Drosophila melanogaster: one gene and its partner. The protein of the gene in region 2 purifies or fractionates together with the protein of the main gene of each other region. This does not show direct contact. Each region holds a gene or a part of one and is shown on either strand. Other genes may lie near its edges. The genes, in order: Grip75 and Grip91.

The links.
Region 1: the proteins of Grip91 (region 2) and Grip75 fractionate together in Drosophila melanogaster (co-fractionation; 2 studies listed by BioGRID). This does not show direct contact.

The regions. Positions count from the first base shown.
Region 1 is NT_033779.5:10,481,412-10,485,344, reverse strand, and holds the start of Grip75 (Grip75), read right to left. Parts: upstream 2,051-3,933; 5' UTR 1,988-2,050; coding exon 1,919-1,987; intron 1,862-1,918; coding exon 1,717-1,861; intron 1,659-1,716; coding exon 1,373-1,658; intron 1,312-1,372; coding exon 1,152-1,311; intron 1,092-1,151; coding exon 585-1,091; intron 521-584; coding exon 148-520; intron 92-147; coding exon 1-91. Other genes in the region: RluA-2 (RluA pseudouridine synthase 2), read right to left, coding at 2,426-2,500, 2,559-2,720, 2,771-3,060, 3,112-3,302, 3,362-3,582, 3,636-3,723, 3,775-3,933. UniProt on the Drosophila melanogaster protein: Gamma-tubulin complex is necessary for microtubule nucleation at the centrosome.
Region 2 is NC_004354.4:13,742,763-13,746,695, reverse strand, and holds the start of Grip91 (Gamma-tubulin ring protein 91), read left to right. Parts: upstream 1-2,012; 5' UTR 2,013-2,297; coding exon 2,298-2,412; intron 2,413-2,961; coding exon 2,962-3,933.

The DNA of each region.
Region 1 (3,933 bases), on a different chromosome or scaffold from region 2:
AGAACATTTGCCAGAAATACAGTGTGAGCCCTTTGTATAACTTCGAAATCACTCCTGCTCTTGATCACATTCATCAAAATTCCAAATTGACCTGTAACAAAATGTGAGTTATTTTCGATCAATTTCGTATTGCGCTCAAAAACTCACTTTCCAGCACATCAACTTGAATGTAATACTGCATGTTGTTCAGAAAGAACATTAGATAGTTGCGAAGAGTTATGATTTTGTTATTTGGAGGCACATCCTTTGCACTCTTCGCCCTCCAAGTCTGCTTGGCCCAGACCCTTTGTATTTCGTATTGATATGTTCGAATGATCAGTAAAAATCGGAATATATTGTTGTACCGCTCGATCGTTGTTGGGGAGAACAAAAGATTCAATGGCCACTCATACTCATATTTTAGACTGAGGCCTTGCAGAAAATTAAAGTCGGAGGTATCGTCTGGTTCAGACGTGCTTCTCTGGCAGATCAGTGAAAACTTGTCCAAGTCATCTGTGATTCCCGTGACAGTAGCTGCCAGCTGAGTATGAGTTAAAAATGTAAATCTAAAATACATATTTAACAACATTATGCGTAATTAGTACCTCAAATGATCTAGTGACGTTTTTAAAACGTTCTTCGCGATAAGTTTCCATGGTACCGACCATTTGGGAGCAGAACTCCAAGTAGAACTCTCCTCTGCCTAGCAAAAAGAAGTCCTTAATCAGTCCCATTTGCCGCTCCAGATCCACTTCGTTCACAGCGATCTCCGACAGCCGGGCGCTAACGTAATTCTTGATATCGATAATAACCTTCTCGAGGCGAAACACATTGATGGTGTCCTCGTTGCTCAAATCAACGACCATTTTGAAGAACTCGGACTCCCTGCCGCTCCACAGCTGATAGATATCATCTGAATCCAATTCAGCCAGTTTTGCCGCCAGTGGGTCGGTTTTGTTTTTAACTTTTACGTTGCGCCCCATTTTGAAGACCAGCACTGTTTGTCCCACGAACAGAACTTTTTCGGCTAAAACGATGGAGAAAAATCCTGGCAGCTGAGACATATTCACCTCATATTGCCATATGTAATCCTCGGGGTTTTTCTCTGCGCTCTGGATATAGATATGCTATTTATAATATAGGGTAAGGATAATCGCTTGTTAAGTTGTTACCAGAAGTGAGCAAGTGGCTGATTTGCTGAATGAGCTACCATCAACTGCATCCGTTGGGGTAAACTTAATAAAGAATTCCGAGTGGACATCGTCAATCACTCCAAACAACAGCCAGTGAGCCAGGCTGGAGAAAAATGCGTTCTTAACAGGCTTCATAATTCTGCATAATGAAGAGCATTTGGATTATGGAAACAAGGCGTTGTGTGTTGGCTATCACTTGCATCTTGATTGCTTTTTCCAGTTGAATATCGCCGTGCTCGCACTGCTGATGTAGATTGTGGAGCAAGACGCATCCTCGCAGATTCAGCACATGGATCTCTGTGATGAGATTACGCATGAAGACCAGAAGGGGGAACTTGGCGTACAGGGCATTGTAGACATATGAGAGCGAATTGCGCTCGTTACCCAAACAATACTTCTCCAGACGTCCGATCTCAGCGTAGTACTCCTCCAGAGCCATTTCAATGCCCTTGGCCAAATTGAGCAAGTAGTAACCATGCAAACTATCTGCGATAGAAATACACATTTGAAATCTTAAAAACACTATGCAACCTTCCATTTATACCTGGAAGTTCGCCATGTGTGTCGGACTTTCTTCCCGATGAATGGGTAAACTGCTCAACTTCTTGGTAAACCTTAATGATTTTTATAATGTCCATAAATATCTCCCGCTCGCAAGGATGTATGAACTGGTCAATGACTGTGGTTTCCTAGAAAGTTCGCTTGTAAGGCTTTCGAAATTATTTATTTCCAACGATTTTACTTACATTGAATGCCTTTATACCCAGCTGCTCCGGATTGTGGCTCCGGCAAGCCAATAACAAATCGTGTATCATTGTTTTGCTGCTTTAATTCGGTATTTGTATTTCATTTGCGCCAGATGTCCGACAGAGATGACACATATCCTGCCCCGTCCGTTATCGATAAGAACCAACTAATCGATAGAATTAGGGGCATTCCCTTCCCGCCAACTGATTGTGGTTTTAAATTTTAAAAATTCGCAGAACTGCAGTTAACTGAAACCACTGTGAGCAGAGTGTTCAGGTGAAGTTCTTGCAAAGTATTATCCAGGATAGTTGGCATCCTAGGACATCCACTGCACGACGATAAATAATACTCCACGAGGACATCCCCTTGCACCGCAAAATGATAAAGTAATTCGGCAAAGTAATAAAACAATGCTACAAATGAAGATAAAATGGAAACACAATTTGTTAAACTCTGTAAAAATATTTCTTTTTACTAAAGCGTCGTGTTTGCAATCAATTTTTCCTTTATACTTTATCGTAATCAATATTCGAATTACACGCCCATTCCGGCAATTCGGTTTCGTACTCCCAACCAACGCCCTGAAAATAAGATTTAATTTGAAATTAAATCTTTAAAAATGTATAGTTTGAAACTGACCTTGTATTTCCATGCATGCAAGTACATTATGAGATCCTTTGTGCCGGGGTCTCTGTAGTTTATCTTGCATTCAGAACATTGCGGATCCGAAGTTGTCTTCTTGGAATCAAAGGACCTGTCTGGTTCCTCATAGCACGTTTGGGTGGCAATCTGTGCAGTAGCCTATAAGCATTGTGTTCTCCAGACTTGTACAACTATTTTAAGTTACTTACATCGTTACTTGGTTCAAGGTTTTTTGAAATCACAGGCTTTTCAGTTTCACTATTAATAGGAGCCTGAACTACTGAGGGAGCCTCTACTACTGAAGTACTTGCTGCTACGTCTTTTATTTCCCCTGATACGATTTGATCTCCTTCCAAGCCCAACCAGTTTTCTGCATTATGAATGCTAATTAGGTTACTGATCAACTGTTCCTCGGTTATTCCACCGATATCTCCTCCTCTTCCTTTCAATGGACCGAAAACTTCATGGTTGTACAAAGGATCATTTGAAATGGGATAGCCTGTGAAATACGAGTGTTATAATTGAATGGAATTATCTGGTTGTCACTTACCCAAGAATTGTAAATGCACTCGTATTTGGTGCATTCGTCCTGTTAGTGGTTTGCACAAAACAATACTATCACTGCCCACCTCGCCGATTCTTTTAAATGTGGTCTTACAGTCCTTGCCCTTCGGTGAAACCTTACAAACACCTATTTTGTAGCTCACGACGTCGATTTTCTCATTGCATTCAACTATGCCACTACGAAAGATATGAAAAATAAGCAGATATATAAAAGATTAGATGCATTTTGGACTTACTCTGGAAAGCGTCCTTCAACGCGGCAAACGTATTCCTTTTGCACTTGGCGAGTTCGGATTTGCAGCTCCAATTCGCGGGCTTTTTCAGCAGTCCGTCCAAACAAAAGTAGGCCAGATGTGAGACGATCCAATCTGTGAATGGTTCGCAGGTTCTTCAGATTGTGCTCCTTGGCCAGGATGAAAACTACCGTGTTGTGTCTATATCTTCCACAAGGATGTACCTACAACATACGATTGTTATTAAATCAAATTCCTTCCAAATTAGTATACCTACCGGTATCGATGCCGGCTTATTCACAACCACAATATCCTTGTCCATGTACACAATCTTGATGGGCTGTGAAGTAACAGGGACTTCGTGTCTAGAATGCAAATGTGTGCATATTCAAATGAGATTTCCTGCTGATGCTTACCTATGCACCACATTGGCCAGCAGATCATTGTGCTTGATTTTATAGTCCTTGGGCACTTTCTCAGAGTTAACAGTCAATTTTCCCGCTTCCAGGCTGCGTTCATATTCCTCCGGCGGTGCGGCTCGAAATTCGCGGACAAATACATCCAGAATTTTCTCA
Region 2 (3,933 bases):
AGCAACAAGAGAGAAGCAAACATTAAACAAAAACAAAAAAAAAAACACCAAATTACAAAAAAAAAAAACGAAAATTCATACGAACGCAAAGAATAAATACACCATTTATAAGAAACAAAAGACGATATGAAGAATTTGTCGCAAACTTGATAAAAAGAACTTATCCTCAGAATCCAGATAAGGACACAAACGAAAAACAAAAACAAGCAAAAAAAAAAAACCACAAAAAAACAAACAATCAATCGGAATTTGATCTCCGTTTAAACTATATTCATTATTATACTACATAAACACCTACAACGTATATCTTACCTACATGTAACTACCAGCGTAATTCGAAAGTATATTTTAAATATTTGTTAAAAAAGGAGATATGAGTGAAACGATCACAAAAAAAAGAAAAAGAAAGAAGAATCCAGCCAAAAGTATGCGGGGAACCACGAGCAGGAGCAACAGGAACAGAGATGGGTCGCTTTTTGTGGCTAGGATCTCACATAAAGGATGCGAGTGGGCGTACTTAGCACGACCGTCATTATGCCACATGAAATCAAAGCATATTATTTACATGAAACTGTTATAGGCACTCGTACACACACACTCACACACACCTCTTGGGTTGATTGAATTGATTGAATAACTTGTATTTGGAACGAACCAATGATGATGATTTATGCTATCAACGCAATCAAAACTCTGATGATTACACAAAACAAATTCCATTGACTTGAAATTGAGAAAAACATTTATAATATTCCTATGCGCATCGAAAACATGATTTTCCTTAATTTTTTTGTAACTTTGTGTGTCAGAAGACTAACATAATTAAGCTTAATTTTACTTTATACGTATATTTACCCACGGATTCATCTTATTCTGCTTGCTTTTTTTTTTTTTTGATTGAATAAAAGCTGCATTTTATATGATAAGAAAAAGACTTTGTTTTCGCCGCACTTATATTTTAAAATGTTCACACTTCATGAAGAAACAAAATTCGACATATTCTTAAAAATGCGCGCCCACACATCTATATATATTTAATATATATATCTACATATATATATATATAAACTAATGTGTTAAAAGCAGAAAATATACATCAAAAATAAAAATTAAAAACATATTTTAATGCGTTTTCAATGGGCAAATTCGTTTATTTAGTTGGAAATAATTTAGGATCGGGCCAACATTTATTTTGCTTTTTTTTCGTTACAGAAATCTCCGGATATTAAATGCAATTACGTATAGAAGTGAGTAAGGTAAACCGGATGAGAGTTTAACTATGTTCTAAATTAAATACCGGAGGTTTCTGTTTCAATACACATTATATACATTATATATTATTTCACATATTATTTCGCGTTCAAATCTGGTGGCGAAGAATCCTTCTTGGTCACCGGTTCACTCGGTGGTTCCAGCTTGATTTCTGGGGCTCAGGATTAGCCCACATATTGCTAGGTAGTTGGGTTGGCTGCTCCAGGTACTGCTCCACCGCATCCAGCTGCTGATGGCCCATTGCGACGAAGGAAAGTCCTTGTCCATTGGAATTCCAAGACATCCTTGCAGCACCTTAAGCTTTAACTCCCCCAGCAGTAGGTATCAAACACGACTTGTAGCCAATTACAGCCGTTGGTGTGCTCCATGGCGAAACGCAGTTGGTCAGTCTCATCTATGTCTTCAGCCTTTATATTAAATATTAACAATTTTAAAGTTTACCATTTTTGCTTACAAGCAATTGCAAATGCAAAACGGACAGTGTGACCAGGCGAGTGAGAGTTGGAAACGTTTGCGGCCCCAGAGCTGTCAGATGTTTGCAATGGAATTAACATAAAAGCTGAAAGCTGCACTTCTAAACATAACTGTTATACAAAAATGCTACATTCAGTAACATTCCGACAGAAATACATTTTTATAGTAAAATGTAGAACGATAATCAAAATGGCATAGCCTATTGCAGACGAGCGCTGCCAGATCGCTGCACCTTCGGCCAGTGTGTGCCCGCCAGCGGCTAGGACTTTGCCTTGTCAAGTTTCCCAGATTCGGTAACACTGCACTAAATAATTTTAATAAATTATTTGTATGAAGTACGCGCCAATTGGATGCGTTTTTGTCCTATCTGTCGAAGATTTCACGCATCCCGAACAATTGCCAGTGACTGCACGCCGTATTATAGCCAGGGAACAGCTGTGCGTTTGCCATTGGCCAACAGTTGTTGTCCACTTCGCAATTACCAAGCCATCCAAAATCGGCTGTTTAACGCGCGCTTGATTGGATATTTATGAACAATTCAGTGCACCAGGATGTCGCAGGACAGGATCGCCGGCATCGATGTGGCAACCAATTCCACTGATATATCGAATATCATTAACGAGATGATCATCTGCATCAAGGGCAAGCAGATGCCCGAAGTTCACGGTGAGATTTGGGAATGTGCAATCACTCACTGGCTGTCCAGGCACGCAAGGCATACGGACTGCTCTGGCATTCCGGGAAGAAGGCCTCCACCCTTGGGAATCGACCACGTGCTTCAGGATTATAGTTAATCCCAGAAACTCAACATATTTCATGGCATTTTCAAACAGAGAGTCCTTGAGATATGCAACTAACAATACATATACTTATATTTTTATAGTTCTAGATTAAATGTAGCAATAACCATTGCCAAAGTGTGTTGCATAGTCGTAAATGTTCAAAATTAATGTATATATCCCACAAACAATTCAAAGTATTCAAAGATATTTATCCGAAAGTAGATAGTTTTGAATTGTTTTTAAATGACTATTGATCACATATACTTAACTATAAAAGTATGAGCAAGTTTCTTAGATCCTCAAGGTCCTCAATACGTACAATTTCCAAATCAATGAATCTAAGGATACGTAATGCAACACATACACTAGACACTATACATAATTGTAGGCTTCATTGCCCTTGTTTTAATGCACTTTGTTCAATCTTTTGCAGAAAAAGCAATGGATCATTTAAGCAAAATGATTGCCGCCAATAGTCGGGTCATTCGGGACTCAAATATGTTGACTGAGCGCGAATGTGTCCAGAAGATAATGAAACTGCTGAGCGCCCGGAATAAGAAGGAGGAGGGCAAAACTGTGTCGGATCACTTCAATGAGCTGTACAGGAAACTCACGTTGACCAAGTGCGATCCGCACATGAGGCACTCGCTAATGACCCATCTACTTACGATGACCGACAATTCGGATGCCGAAAAGGCAGTTGCCAGCGAAGATCCACGTACTCAGTGCGATAATCTCACTCAGATTCTGGTCAGTCGTCTTAACTCAATAAGTTCCTCCATAGCCAGTCTGAATGAGATGGGAGTGGTCAACGGAAATGGAGTAGGAGCAGCAGCGGTAACAGGAGCAGCAGCGGTAACAGGAGCAGCAGCGGTAACAGGAGCAGCAGCGGTAACAGGAGCAGCAGCAAGCCACAGTTATGATGCCACACAGTCCAGCATCGGATTGAGAAAACAGTCCTTGCCCAACTACCTGGATGCAACAAAGATGTTGCCCGAGTCTCGACATGATATAGTGATGAGTGCCATTTACTCCTTCACCGGCGTTCAAGGGAAGTATTTGAAGAAGGATGTGGTAACGGGCCGTTTCAAGCTGGATCAGCAGAACATCAAGTTCCTGACCACCGGCCAAGCGGGCATGTTGCTGCGGCTCTCCGAACTTGGCTACTACCACGATCGAGTGGTCAAGTTTTCGGATGTATCGACCGGTTTCAATGCCATTGGCAGCATGGGCCAGGCCCTGATTTCCAAACTCAAGGAGGAGCTGGCGAATTTTCACGGGCAAGTGGCAATGCTTCACGATGAAATGCAGCGTTTTCGGCAGGCCTCGGTGAATGGAATTGCAAACAAGGGGAAAAAGGATAGTGGGCCCGATGCTGGCGATGAAATGACGCTATTCAAGCTGC